3 linked regions of the Callithrix jacchus genome follow. The protein of the gene in region 1 interacts with the protein of each later gene in a pairwise test. Links are inferred from orthologs where the notes say so. Each region holds a gene or a part of one and is shown on either strand. Other genes may lie near its edges.

Evidence for each region.
Region 2: the proteins of TEX11 (region 1) and PPP1R18 interact in binary tests that used the Homo sapiens proteins (3 or more experiments, as listed by UniProt). The two-hybrid records come from large-scale screens. The link is inferred for Callithrix jacchus from reciprocal best matches to the Homo sapiens genes TEX11 and PPP1R18.
Region 3: the proteins of TEX11 (region 1) and HYI interact in binary tests that used the Homo sapiens proteins (3 or more experiments, as listed by UniProt). The two-hybrid records come from large-scale screens. The link is inferred for Callithrix jacchus from reciprocal best matches to the Homo sapiens genes TEX11 and HYI.

What each region holds. Positions count from the first base shown.
Region 1 is NC_133524.1:67,855,618-67,859,117, reverse strand, and holds part of TEX11 (testis-expressed protein 11), read left to right. Parts: intron 1-779; coding exon 780-888; intron 889-1,941; coding exon 1,942-2,062; intron 2,063-3,500. UniProt on the Homo sapiens protein: Regulator of crossing-over during meiosis. Involved in initiation and/or maintenance of chromosome synapsis and formation of crossovers.
Region 2 is NC_133505.1:35,482,941-35,487,225, forward strand, and holds the start of PPP1R18 (phostensin), read right to left. Parts: upstream 2,801-4,285; 5' UTR 2,509-2,800; coding exon 2,450-2,508; intron 1,664-2,449; coding exon 31-1,663; intron 1-30.
Region 3 is NC_133508.1:80,108,700-80,112,730, reverse strand, and holds HYI (putative hydroxypyruvate isomerase), read left to right. Parts: upstream 1-1,231; 5' UTR 1,232-1,269; coding exon 1,270-1,468; intron 1,469-1,547; coding exon 1,548-1,659; exon of another isoform or gene 1,660-1,809; coding exon of another isoform or gene 1,810-2,121; intron 2,122-2,682; coding exon 2,683-2,797; intron 2,798-2,967; coding exon 2,968-3,046; intron 3,047-3,135; coding exon 3,136-3,185; intron 3,186-3,274; coding exon 3,275-3,359; intron 3,360-3,462; coding exon 3,463-3,597; intron 3,598-3,691; coding exon 3,692-3,765; 3' UTR 3,766-3,845; downstream 3,846-4,031. Other genes in the region: KICSTOR complex protein SZT2, read right to left, coding at 1,810-2,121. UniProt on the Homo sapiens protein: Catalyzes the reversible isomerization between hydroxypyruvate and 2-hydroxy-3-oxopropanoate (also termed tartronate semialdehyde).

The DNA.
Region 1 (3,500 bases):
TTTTTAACACAACTGCCACTCTCAAATTTCAGGATGAACTTTAAGTGAGTTTGGGAACTTAGAGCCTTTTTGGGCATACACTGCAGGAAACAGCCTCATTATCTTCCCTTTTTATCTCACACCTTCAGGAGTGTCAGTGTGGTTAATAAAAATATTAGGTAGCTCCAAGGGCACAAGAATCACATTTGCCTTTCCTTGGTCTTGCCAAGACAGAATTCCTAGAGCCATGGAGCAGATGATATATACTTTATGGGAATGTGACAATTACCAGTGCTCCTTGTATAATGGAACTCCAATTCTAAAAATCTGTTAAATGCATCTGAAAGTCTTAGGGTTAGTTACCTCTGATACTCCCTTGTCAAGTGTTTCCTATTTTTAGTATCAGATAAAAATAGGACATTTTAGTACAAACCTGTTTTGATTAGTGCCCTTTTACTGATCTGCTTTCTATTTCCTTCTTAGTGTGTCCTTCCTTGACTCTCATTCATATTGCTTCACCTGTATGACTGTGTGCAAGGTCATAGAAACAGTAGGTTTTCTGTTGATGTTTGCTGAAGAAAGGATGTTACCTGGTAATCCCACCATGCTACTCTGCCCAGAAAGTAGAAGCTATTTACAAAACTGGCTGTAGATTCATCATTTATAAAATTCATTGTTGTTTGTTTTTTGTTCATCTATTTCAGCCCAGTTTTATTAGAGAAAGCAAGTGGTAGCCTGGGATGAAAACTGTGATGGATGACATTATGATGTTCATAACCTTTTTCCTTTTCTTCATCTAGTAATAGCAATGGAAACACCTGCACACTACCCTTCCATTGCTATCAAAGCCTTGAAAAAGGCTTTATTGCTCTACAAAAAGGAAGAATCAGTTGATATTTCACAATACAGGTTAGTAAATATAATTCAAAACTTAATCCAGTTTTTTGATAGCCAAAAGAACTATAGTCAATGTCTCATAAGTAACCAGTCATTCTTAACTGACCCAATTTAAAAGATGACATGGGATGATCTGAGGGCACTCCTGTGACCAGCTCCATACTGAGAGTTGTATTATAGACCAATAATTATTCAGCAAAGTCAAGGAGCTTGGGTTTCCCAAATGAGAATAAAAGGGGAAAAGTTGCTTCTTTGTGCGAATCTGTATATATAATAAAACTGCTAAGTATCTTTCTTTCTTTGTTTCATTACTAAATAATATTCCAAATGTACAGAGGTTAATATAGCAAACACCAATGTCTCCACCACCCAGATTTATTTGTTTTATTTTTAGAGATGGAGTCTCATGATTTTGCCCAGGCTGGATTTGAACTCCTGGGCTCAAATGATCCTCAATCTCAGTTTCACAAGTAGCTGGAATTACAGGCACATAGCACCCAAATTTAACAAATGTTAACATTTTTCTATGTTTGCCTCATTTTTTAAGCACTTTGAGCACCAATAAGTGCTGTATAAAATATTATCTACTGGGGACTTTTTTGTTTTCTACGTCCAGACATAGGGAAAAATAGATGTTGTGTGACTTTTTTGTCTGGAAAACATCATTACAGTCTTCCTGTTTTAAGACATGAAAGACAGTTCTTGTGGAATCATTCCACTTTAAACACCAGTTCCCTTCCCCATTTGAGGAAGTACTGAGATGCTTTAAATGCCTGTAAATTGAACCAGCTCATAAAATATAATAGACAGCCACAACTTTTTCGTTCAGGAAGCTAAAAAAAAGAATGAAAGACAACCATAGGCATGAAAAAAGAAAGGATTGGTCAACCTGTTTTACAGCTTCAAAAATCTGTCTTCTGAGGTTGGAAGCCAGATAAAATCAAGGGAAGAACAGAAGTGTTTTGAAACTGTTAGTCTGGGATGAGATCCAGATTTTACTTATCTTAGCCATGAAGCCAATGATTTCTTTCCTTATGGGATGAGTTTTCTCTTTTTGATTTTTAGCAAATGTATGCACAACTTGATTAACCTCTCAGTGCCAGATGGGGCATCAAGTGTAGAGCTCTGTCCCCTGGAAGAAGTTTGGGGCTTTTTTGAAGATGCTCTGAGCCACATTAGCCGCACCGTAAGTCAAATAGTAATATTGAACTTTTGGTTAATTTTAAAGAACTGAACTGTCTTGTGTACTACAAATTATATACAATAGTGCTTTCTTATATGAGTTTTAGGAAAATTCGTATTACAATTTTGTAGTTACACACTACAGAATTTTCCTGGGTTTCTGAAATATTAATAGTTGAAAGTAGGTATTTTCTAACACAAGTGTGTTATGGATTAGGTCAAAATAGCAGTACTACCAGGCATTTTGAATTATTTTGTATTTTCAAATCATGGTGGGATGATTATTTTCTCTGTGATTCTATGAACCTTTTGAAAAGGTTATTGCTATTCTCGTCCTTTCTCAGAGGCAGGTGATAGAGTAGAAGGAACATTGAAAACCTGTATTCTAGTTCCTCCTCTGCTGATTTCTTTTTCTTTTTCATGAAGGTTTATTCAGTGGTTTTAAAGTTAGCTTTCCTGAGGTATAATTTACATATCATAAAATTCACCCCTGGCTTGTGCACAATTCAGTGAATTTATAGAGTTGTGCAATTAACACTACAATTCAGTTTTTTTTAATTTAAAAAATGTTTTCAATTTTTGTGGGTACATAGCAGTATATATATTTATGGGGTACATGAAATATTTTGATACAGGCATATAATGCATAATAATCACATCAGGTTAAATGGGGTATCCATCACCTCAGGCATTTATCCTTTGTGTTACAAGCAATTCAATTATACTTTTAGTTTTTAAAAATGTACAATTAAATTATTGTTGATTATAATCACCCTGTTGTGCTGCTAAGTACAGATCTTATTCATTCTAATTTTTGTACCCATTAACCATTCCCACATCTCCCCCCCACCCCTCCTCTGGTAAACATCATTATACTCTTTCTCTCCCCAACAGTTCAATTATTTTAATTTTTAGCTTTCACAAATAAGTGAGAACATGTGAAGTTTGGGGTGTGTGCGTGTGTGTGTGTGTGTGTGTGTGTGTGTGTGTGTGTTGGGCTTATTTCATTCAACATACTGACCTTCAGTTCCATCCATGTTGTTGCAAGTGACTGGATCTCATTCTTTTTTATGGTTGAATAGTACTCCGTTGTGTATAGGTACCACATTTTCTTTATCCATTCATCTGTTGATGGACACTTAGGTTGCTTCCAAATCTTAACTATTGTAAACAGTGCTACAACAAACATAGGAGTACAGATACCTCTTTGATATACTGATTTCCTTTCTTTTGGGTATATACCCAGCAGTGAGATTGTTGGATCATATGGTAACTCAATTTTTAGTTTTTTAGGAACCTTCAAACTGTTCTCCATAGTGGTTGTACTAATTTATGTTCCAACAGTGTATGAGGGTTCCCTTTTCACCACATCCTTACCAGCATTTGCTATTGCCTGTCTTTTGGATATAAGACATTTTAACTGGGGTAAGATGCTGTCTCAT
Region 2 (4,285 bases), on another chromosome or scaffold:
CTAAGAAGTCTGGCTCGGCTGTTCCCCTACCTGTTTGTGGTGTCTTTCGGGGGACCCCTTGGCAAGGCAGCTGCGGCTGAGACGGAGGTAGCCCCCCAGAACCAAGATCTCCTCGGCAGTTGGGTACCGCTTCTTCCCAGCCCCCAGGGCTGCAGCATCAGCTGTGGCTGGAGAGGCTGGGGTGGCTGGGGGAGTCGTAGGGAGCACAGACCGCCGGGGGTTGACGGTGAAGGTGTGTCCACTGCGGCGGGGGGCCCCCACCCCTGGCCCTGCTTTCACCCCATAGAACAGGCGGCTCATGAGGGGATCCCCAGGAGGTTGGGGGGCAGCTGGGGCTGGGGGTGGGGGAGATAGAGGGGCTGGTGGTGGGGGCTGGAGTTCCACTGCTTCTTCTTCCTGCTGTCTCAGGCCTCCAGTCCCAGCGTCCTCTGGTGGGAGGGGGGAGGGCACAGAGCAGCAGTTCTGCAGGGCTCTCAGAGGCCTGCCCTGAGCTCCCGCCTCCTCCTTCTCAGCCTCCCCTTCTCCAGCTTCCACACCGGGAGGCTCCAGACGCTTTTCCACTGACTCTGGAGGTTCTGGTTTCTGAGTTTGAGCCTCGTTGTCGTTGGGTGTCCATTCTCGAGCGTTCCCAGAGTTCAGGGTCCATTTCCACCCTTCTGTTGGCTTCATGCCCCTCTCACTGTCTCCCATAGGCCTCTGTTCTGCAGCCTCCACTCCTGCAGAACTGCTGCCTTGGGCCTCCTTTGTCAGGGTCTCTGACAGCTCTGTAGTCTCTTCTGGGGCCACCCCTGGAACTGGCCTCCCTTCTTTTCTCCTACATTCTTCTGAGTAGCCTTTTCTTTCTTCTCCTGACCTCAGCCTCCACTCTGTTGCCTCTGGTTGTACCAAACTCTGTTCCTGAGACTCTCTGGAGTCAGGTCTCCATTTATGGGCCTCTGTCAGGCCCAACTTCGGGTAGGCAGATTCCCCTGGGCTCAGTCTACTTTCCACCTCTTTTCTTCTGGGGCTTTGCTCTCGAGACTCTGCTAGTCTCAGACTCCGCTCTGGAGTTTCTACAGGACTCAGCCTCCATTTCCGTGCCTCTGACAGTCGGGAGCTCTTGTCTCCCGCCTCTCCTGGGCTTTGCCTCCAGTCCCGAGCCTCCAGAGGCCTCAGGCTCGACTCTTGGGCTCCCCCTATCCCCAGCCTCCTCTCTCTGGTCTCCCTGGGACTTAGTCTCTCTTCTCTTGACTCTCTTCTCTTGGGGCTCTGATCCCGCATCTCCCCAGGGCTGGGTCTCCGCTCCCGGGCCTCCAGAGATCCAGGCTTTCTCTCAGCTAGCAGCTCTTCACTCCGTTGCTGCTGCTGCTGCCGCTCCTGCCGGATGAATCGGTTCTGGTGCACTGGCCCGATGGCCTCCTGAAGGACCGCAGATTCATCTGTGTCTGCAGGTCCGGCTTCTGCAGTCCCTGGCACAGGGCTAGGCTCCCCAGGGGACAGCCCAAGCTTGGCCCGGCGGCGCTCCAGAAGCCCTCGCTTCCAGGCTGGCATCTGGGATAGGCGCTCCCGTTCTGCCTTCTCCCGGCCTCTAACGGACGCCTCCTCCTGCCGGCGCCGGGCTAACAGCTGTAGCTTCCAGTCTGGGATGGTGGTCATGGTCGCCTTGAGGTGAGGGTAGGGAGCACTGGGGGCAGAGAACAGGAAGAAGAGGCTCCAGAGAGGCCCAGGGAGTGAGACTGAGGGTGGGAGGGGAGGAAGTGGAGGGGGAGAGGTGGGACCACGAGCAGGGCAGAGGAGCTGAGGATGAGGACCAAGGGAAAGAGGGACGGCAGAGAACAGGGGAAATGGAAAAAGTGAAGAGAAGTTATGAGCCCAAGTTGGGGGTGGTGGGGGCGATGTGAGAGGAAGAGTCCAGATTGGAGGCAATGAGGACAGGAGCCAGATGTGGCAGTACAGGGTTAATGCGTATTAAAGACAGTCTCTAGGATGTGGGAAACAGAGAATGGGAGAAAAGAAAAGTTGCTATGAGGGTGAAAAGAGAAAAGGGGCAGGGATGAGGGGAACCCGGGTGCAGGCCTGGCTGCCTCAGCGATACCCCAGGGAGGTGAGTGTGGGAAGGAAGGACCGGGAATCCCTCCCGAGGAGGGCAACGGGACCTGAGGGGGTGTCGAGGAGGCAGGGAGGAGCGGAGAGCGAGCAGGTCTAGGGGAGAAGGGAAACCAGGGAAGAGGGGAAGGGAGCGCGGCGGTAGCGGCCGGGAGCGTCTCAGCGCGGGCCCCAAAGGTCCCTGCTCCGCTTCCAGTGCCGCTGGGGCCACGCCTCTCCCCAGCCCCCACCCCTCTGCCCCGCACTCCGCCCCCGAGGCGGGTCGGGGGAAATACCCACCCCGGGACTTTCGGAACCCGGGCGTCGGGGCTGCCAGCGCGTTCCCAGAACCCTGGTATCCACCCCCACCCAGTCCCGTCAATACCGCCTGCCTCCCCCGCCGTCTGCGCCCGGCGACCCCGGAGTGCCGAGGGCCGGCTCCATGCCTCTTCTCTCCAGCGCCTGCGAGTCCCATGCCCGGTCCCCGCTCTCATGGAGCCGTGACAGAGCCAGCTGTCTCCACCCCGCTCTGGCTGCACAGACTGACAATCTCGGCACAAAGAGGAGACAGCCAAGGTCCGGGCCAGGGACGGGAGCGAGGAGACACCCCCTCCCCAAGTCTAAGCCCCTCAGTCAACTCACACGCCGTGGGGCCCCCCTGGGAGGGGGTGCGGAGGAGCCGGGCGTCCAGAGAGAGGAAGAGGAGGAGAGAGGGACCGAGGGAGATCCGGAGACTGGAGGGAGGGGAGGAGGAGGGAGAGGAGGAGGGAAAGAGGCAGCAAAGGAGGAGGGACGGAGACAGAGATCAGGGGGCCGGGCGGGGGCGGCGACCGCTTTGTCTAAGGACAATGAGGAGAGGGAAGGGGGCGCAGGGCGGAGCCCGAGGGGAGGGCGGGGCTCCCTCCCACCGCGCGTGGGACTGGCTCTGGGACTGCCCCCTACTCGCCCCAACCCCTGGTCCTCTGCTCTGTGTCCCCAGGGGCCCTCAACCGCTTCCCTCCCGGTAGCCCTGAAGAACCCAGGTGTCCAGATCCCTTCCCCCAGCTCGCCGACCCAGGGCGGTGGCCCGTGACTCAGGCCCCTCGTGGGACTTTGGGAGGAAGCGGCAGCTGCTAGGAGCCGGGCCCGCCCTTCCCATCTCCTGCCTCTCAGCCCTCCCCGCGATTTTGCCTTCTCCGGCCAGTCTTTGTTTTTGCCGGGTCGAGGGCAGCCACCAGGAGGCCTTGAGGAGGGGGCGGCAGGAGAGGCGCTCAGAAGCCAGCAGTTTTGGAAGCTCGTTCTCCTACCAGAGCTGCTGTCCCCACTCTTTCTAGCTTCAACCTGCCTCCCATGAGTCTCTTGGTCAGCTGCGGGGTTGGGGAGTGGGGGAAGGGGATTTGAAGGAATGGGGACCCGGCCTCTCTGGCAAAGTGGGGGCGGGTCAGCGGGGGCGCGGTGGTCGAAGGCCAGCGGTTGCCAGAGGGCGTGGTGGCTGCCCAGACTCCACTTCGCGGGCTCGCAGGCTCCCTCTGGCTTTCCTTCCCAAACTCAGCCCTGCAGCTTGGGAGACACTGACAGACTACATGCAGTACGTAGAAAAATCAGGCTTTTATTTTCCTGCAGAGCATCCAGAACAGGAAGCCCCAAGTTAAGAACGGGAGAATCCTCTTGACTAGGTTCAGAGGCAGGGCCTAAGGAGGTGCAGACACTAGGGCCGGGAGTGCTGAGGCAAGGTGTGGGGCCTGGAGGGACAGCCACTGCCTTTGAACTTGCAGACCCTGGTCCAGCTTCTCGGAGTGGAAGCCAGAGGTGGCGAAGTGGGAGGGGGATCCCAGAGGCACAGAGAGAAGCAATGGTGCCCGCCAGCGGAATGGTCAGGGCAGATCCTTTCCTTCTAGGAGACTGTTGAAGGGGAGCATGCCATGCCCTAAACAGTGAGGAGACAGATGAATTCCATACCCTGCTCTTCCTTGCTGGTGAGATGTGGACTCTTGGAGTTCAGTGGCTGAAACTCAGAATTTAGAGTATGGAGCTGGACCCAGAGAATAAAGTAGCAAGTAGTGGAAGGGGCAACTCCTTTAGTCCATGGATTTGAGCCTCTGGCCTGAAGCAGCCAGGGCCTGGATGTTAAAGATTTAGAATTCAGGGGGAGAGAGACTGGGCGTGGTGGCTCATGCCTGTAATTCCAGCACTTTGGGAGACTAAGGCAGGCGGATCACAAGGTCAGCAGTTCAAGACCAGC
Region 3 (4,031 bases), on another chromosome or scaffold:
ACTTAAATATGTTCCTATTTTTGACCATGTAATTCTACCTATAAGTACCTACCCCATCAGTTGAGTTACTGAAGATGAAAGTAAATCATTCATATCATCTCAGGAAACATTAAAAGGGTATACAGACACCAAAACCCAGGAAAGTCTAAGGATTCCAGCCTTAAGTGCACACACCTGGGAGCAGCAATGGGTTTGGGCACCCCTGGGACGACAGGAGTTTCTCAGTGTGCTACCTCTATTCACAGGGCTTTTTCCCCCTCCTTTCCGCTCTAGTTTTTTTGTACCATAGGACTCTGCCTTATTTCTTTTCTACAGCCCAGTCATCTTCCGGCACCACCACCTGTTGACTCTCAGCATTTCCTTGTTTGTACTCTTGATTGGTTAGATTATCTCGCCAAACGGTGCAAGTAAGAGGTCTTTGGCCAGTCTATGGATTGGCTGCCCTGAGATCAGATGACCTCCCTGGTTCAATCAGCTGAGGCTAAGGCTAAGGGGACAGTTCACCCATAGCTGCTTAATGGGGCGGCTTCCCTTGCAAAAGACGAACGGTGTGAACGGACAAACACTGTGATGGACATCTCTAGAAAAGGACTCGAAAAAGAGTCCGAGATAGGTACTAAGACGTGCATGAAAGTGCGCTTGCAGTGCGCGCGTGTTATCCATCCACGGATACAATAATGACTCGGTGCTTACGTGTGCGACAATGAGCAGCGAAGGCGCTGACTTTGAAGGCTATTGGAAAACACGAGGAAATGTTCACAAAATAATATTCCATGAAAAATGGCCTATAAAACCGCATACACCGAATGGTCAGAATTTTCAAAGAAAAAATGGCATATTTTAAAACTTGGACGGGCAAGCTAACAGGCTAGTGTCGTGAAAACTGGTGGTATAAAAGTGCTTGTTTGGTCATACAGCTTTCAAATGCTGCTTCATGAACAGATAGCATTTTTATAATCAGAGGAGAGACTCAGTATTAAAGTGCCCGTCCCATCGTCGTAACCGTGCCCTTGGGCAGCCGGTTCTCAGGCTCACGGCCCGGCCTCCCCACCTCCTCCTGGTGCCACCCTCGCCCCGCCCCTCCGCCTCTCCCCGCGCTTCCTCTCTAGCTAACTAAAGGCGCTTTCCACGAAGACCCGGGTTTTTACAGCACCTCGCTTCTTCTAACCCGGAACAGTGCGCTTTTGTTCGCCGGGTCAGCAAGGAGAGCCCCGCCCCGCCCGCCGCCTCCGGGGCCTGCGGACTCTGCCCGGTCCGGCCTCCCCCATCATGGCGCCGCTGCGCTTCTCTGCCAATCTGTCCTGGCTATTCCCGGAGCTCCCCGGCCTCCTCCCGCGACTGCGGGCCGCGGGCAGCTCGGGCTTCGAGGCCGCCGAGGTGGCCTGGCCTTACGCGGAGCCGCCCGAGGCGCTGGCGCGGGCGGCGCGGGAAGCGGGGCTGCGGCTGGTGCTGATAAACACGCCTCCGGGTGCGTGGCAGGCCGGGAGGGCTGGAGGGACCCGGGTGTGGGTGCCGGACCTGGGGGCTGAGGCCAGTTCTCTCTGCAGGAGATCATGAGAAGGGGGAAATGGGGCTGGGGGCCGTCCCCGGGAGACAGGAGGCCTTCCGAGAAGGTCTGGAGCAGGCTGTGCGGTACGCCAAGGCCCTGGGCTGTCCCAGGTACCCCCATCCCCCACCCCTCTGTGACCCATGACCCTGCCGCAGGTTAAGGGCGTCGAGGACGCCAGGTATGAGACGTTCAGAAGTCTGAGCCCACTGGCCTATCTCCGCCCCTGCGGTCCTGGTCCTTTGTAAACTGTCTTTTATATTTTATCTGTCCTGTGCCAGTCTGTTTGCCACTCTTTCATGCTCACCCCATGCCGGGATCCCATGCTGGGAGCTCAGTCTGCCTAGGGAGATAGAAATATATGCAGTGATCCATTTGAGGACGGGCCTATTCAAGTAAGCTGTGGGAGCAGGGTAGGCACCTAACCCTGTCTGGATCAGAGAAAGCTGCTTACAGGTAGTGATGCTTGGACTGTCTTGAAGGAGTGGGCATTGCTTGATGAGCAGGAGGTAGAGTATTCCTGGCAAGAGGAGGCCTGGTGTGTTGAGCAGCGTTCCTGAGGCTGGATGGGTAGCCTGTTGGGGTGGGGAGACCTGGAATGTTGGCTTGAAGCTGAATGTGGCTAAGATCCGAGTGATGGCAGGAGGTGGACGGCTCAAAGTGGAGCTGGTCAAATGCCAAATCCTGCAGAGGCCAAACAGGCTCAGAAGGAACTGGCAATGGGATCACTACTGGTGAATGGTAGGGGAGAAAACAGATGGGAAGAGGCTAAGAAGTAGATGTGAGGAGAGGAAGTAGAAACAGCAGCATGGCATACTTGAGAAGGGCAAGGGTCAGGATAATTTTTAAAGGTGAGACTTTAGCAGGTTGTATGTTGAGAATGACTGAGGGAAGGAGAGGTGGAAATTACTGGAGGTGGGGGGTAGGGGGGAGTGGACACTGAGGTGTTTGGGAGAGGGCTTGCCCCTCAACTGTCACTGAAGTGTCTGAAAGTGCCCGGATGCCTGGGCGTCGTGACGCAGGTGTCATGGACTGGAGACCTGGGGAGACAGGTGAGGCCAGCATAGTCAGGGAATCCTGCGAGAGGTGTAGAGAGAGCCAAGGGAGGCAAGGCCTCCAGTATATCTTCTCCACAGGATCCACCTGATGGCTGGCCGAGTACCCCAGGGGGCTGACCCAGCAGCAGTCAAGGCTGAGATGGAGACCGTTTTTCTAGAGAATCTGAGGCATGCAGCTGGGGTTTTGGCTCAGGTGAGAAAGGTGGAAACACAGAGCGGAGCGGTTGCACAGTGGGGACAGCATGTGAGGCACAAGGCTGGCTGCCGGCCTAGGTCAGAAGGACAGGTGAGGGCCTTGACCAGTGACTGATGGGGGACAAACTTGGGAAGGAGCTCTATTCACAGCACCCGACATGCTGCTAGGAGGACCTTGTGGGACTGCTGGAGCCCATCAACACCCGCATCACTGACCCCCAGTACTTCCTGGACACGCCTCAGCAGGGTAGGACCCCAGGCCTGTGGATCCTTCTGTCCCTTGGATACCTGTGCTTTCCTTGAGGCTCATGGCCCACTCCCTGGCTTCTCTTCCAGCGGCAGCCATCTTACAGAAGGTGGGAAGACCCAACCTCCAATTACAAATGGTAAGTGGAAGAAAGGGGGTACTTTGCAGAGAGCCCATGTTCTCTCAATCTTGGAAGCAAGGCAGAGCCTATAGGGTCTTGGACTGTAGAATCCTCTTCCCCAGGACATATTCCACTGGCAGATCATGGATGGGAACCTGACAGGAAACATCCGGGAGTTCCTGCCCATTGTCGGTGAGAGGAGCTTTCTTTGCTCTTTCACCCTTTCAATCCCCACGTCTGTCCTTCAGGCCCCGGCAGGAGCCCGGACCCTACATCTGTCCTCATCTGTCCCCAGGGCACGTGCAGGTGGCACAGGTCCCAGGCCGAGGGGAGCCCAGCAGCCCCGGAGAGCTGAACTTCCCCTATCTGTTTCAACTGCTGGAAGATGAAGGCTACAAAGGTTTTGTGGGCTGCGAGTATCGGCCTCAAGGTGAGGCATGGCCCTGGGGAAGGGAGTTCTGGAGGAACTTGGACAGGGGCCGTTTTCTCCATGTGGGCTGAGACGCCAAGGTCTCTCCTTGCAGGAGATACAGTAGAGGGCCTGAGCTGGCTACGGTCATACTGGGACAGGCGGGGCCACCCAGGGGCTGGCCAGTGAGGGCCTGCACACCACCCACATGCCTCCAGACAGCGAGTGAGATCCTGTCTCCTTCTCTGCATTAAAGATGACCTGCTGAACACTGTCATATATCTTTGTTATGGGGTGGGGGGACACACAGTGTCTAATACTTCAGTTTCTCTGTTGCTTCCCTCCCACTGAGAAGCCAATGCCAGGGTTGCTGTGGAGATGGGAGAGCTTCTGAGCCCACCTCCTCATTAAAGGATGAGAAACCCAGGGTCCAAGAGCAGAGACTTGACAGTGGT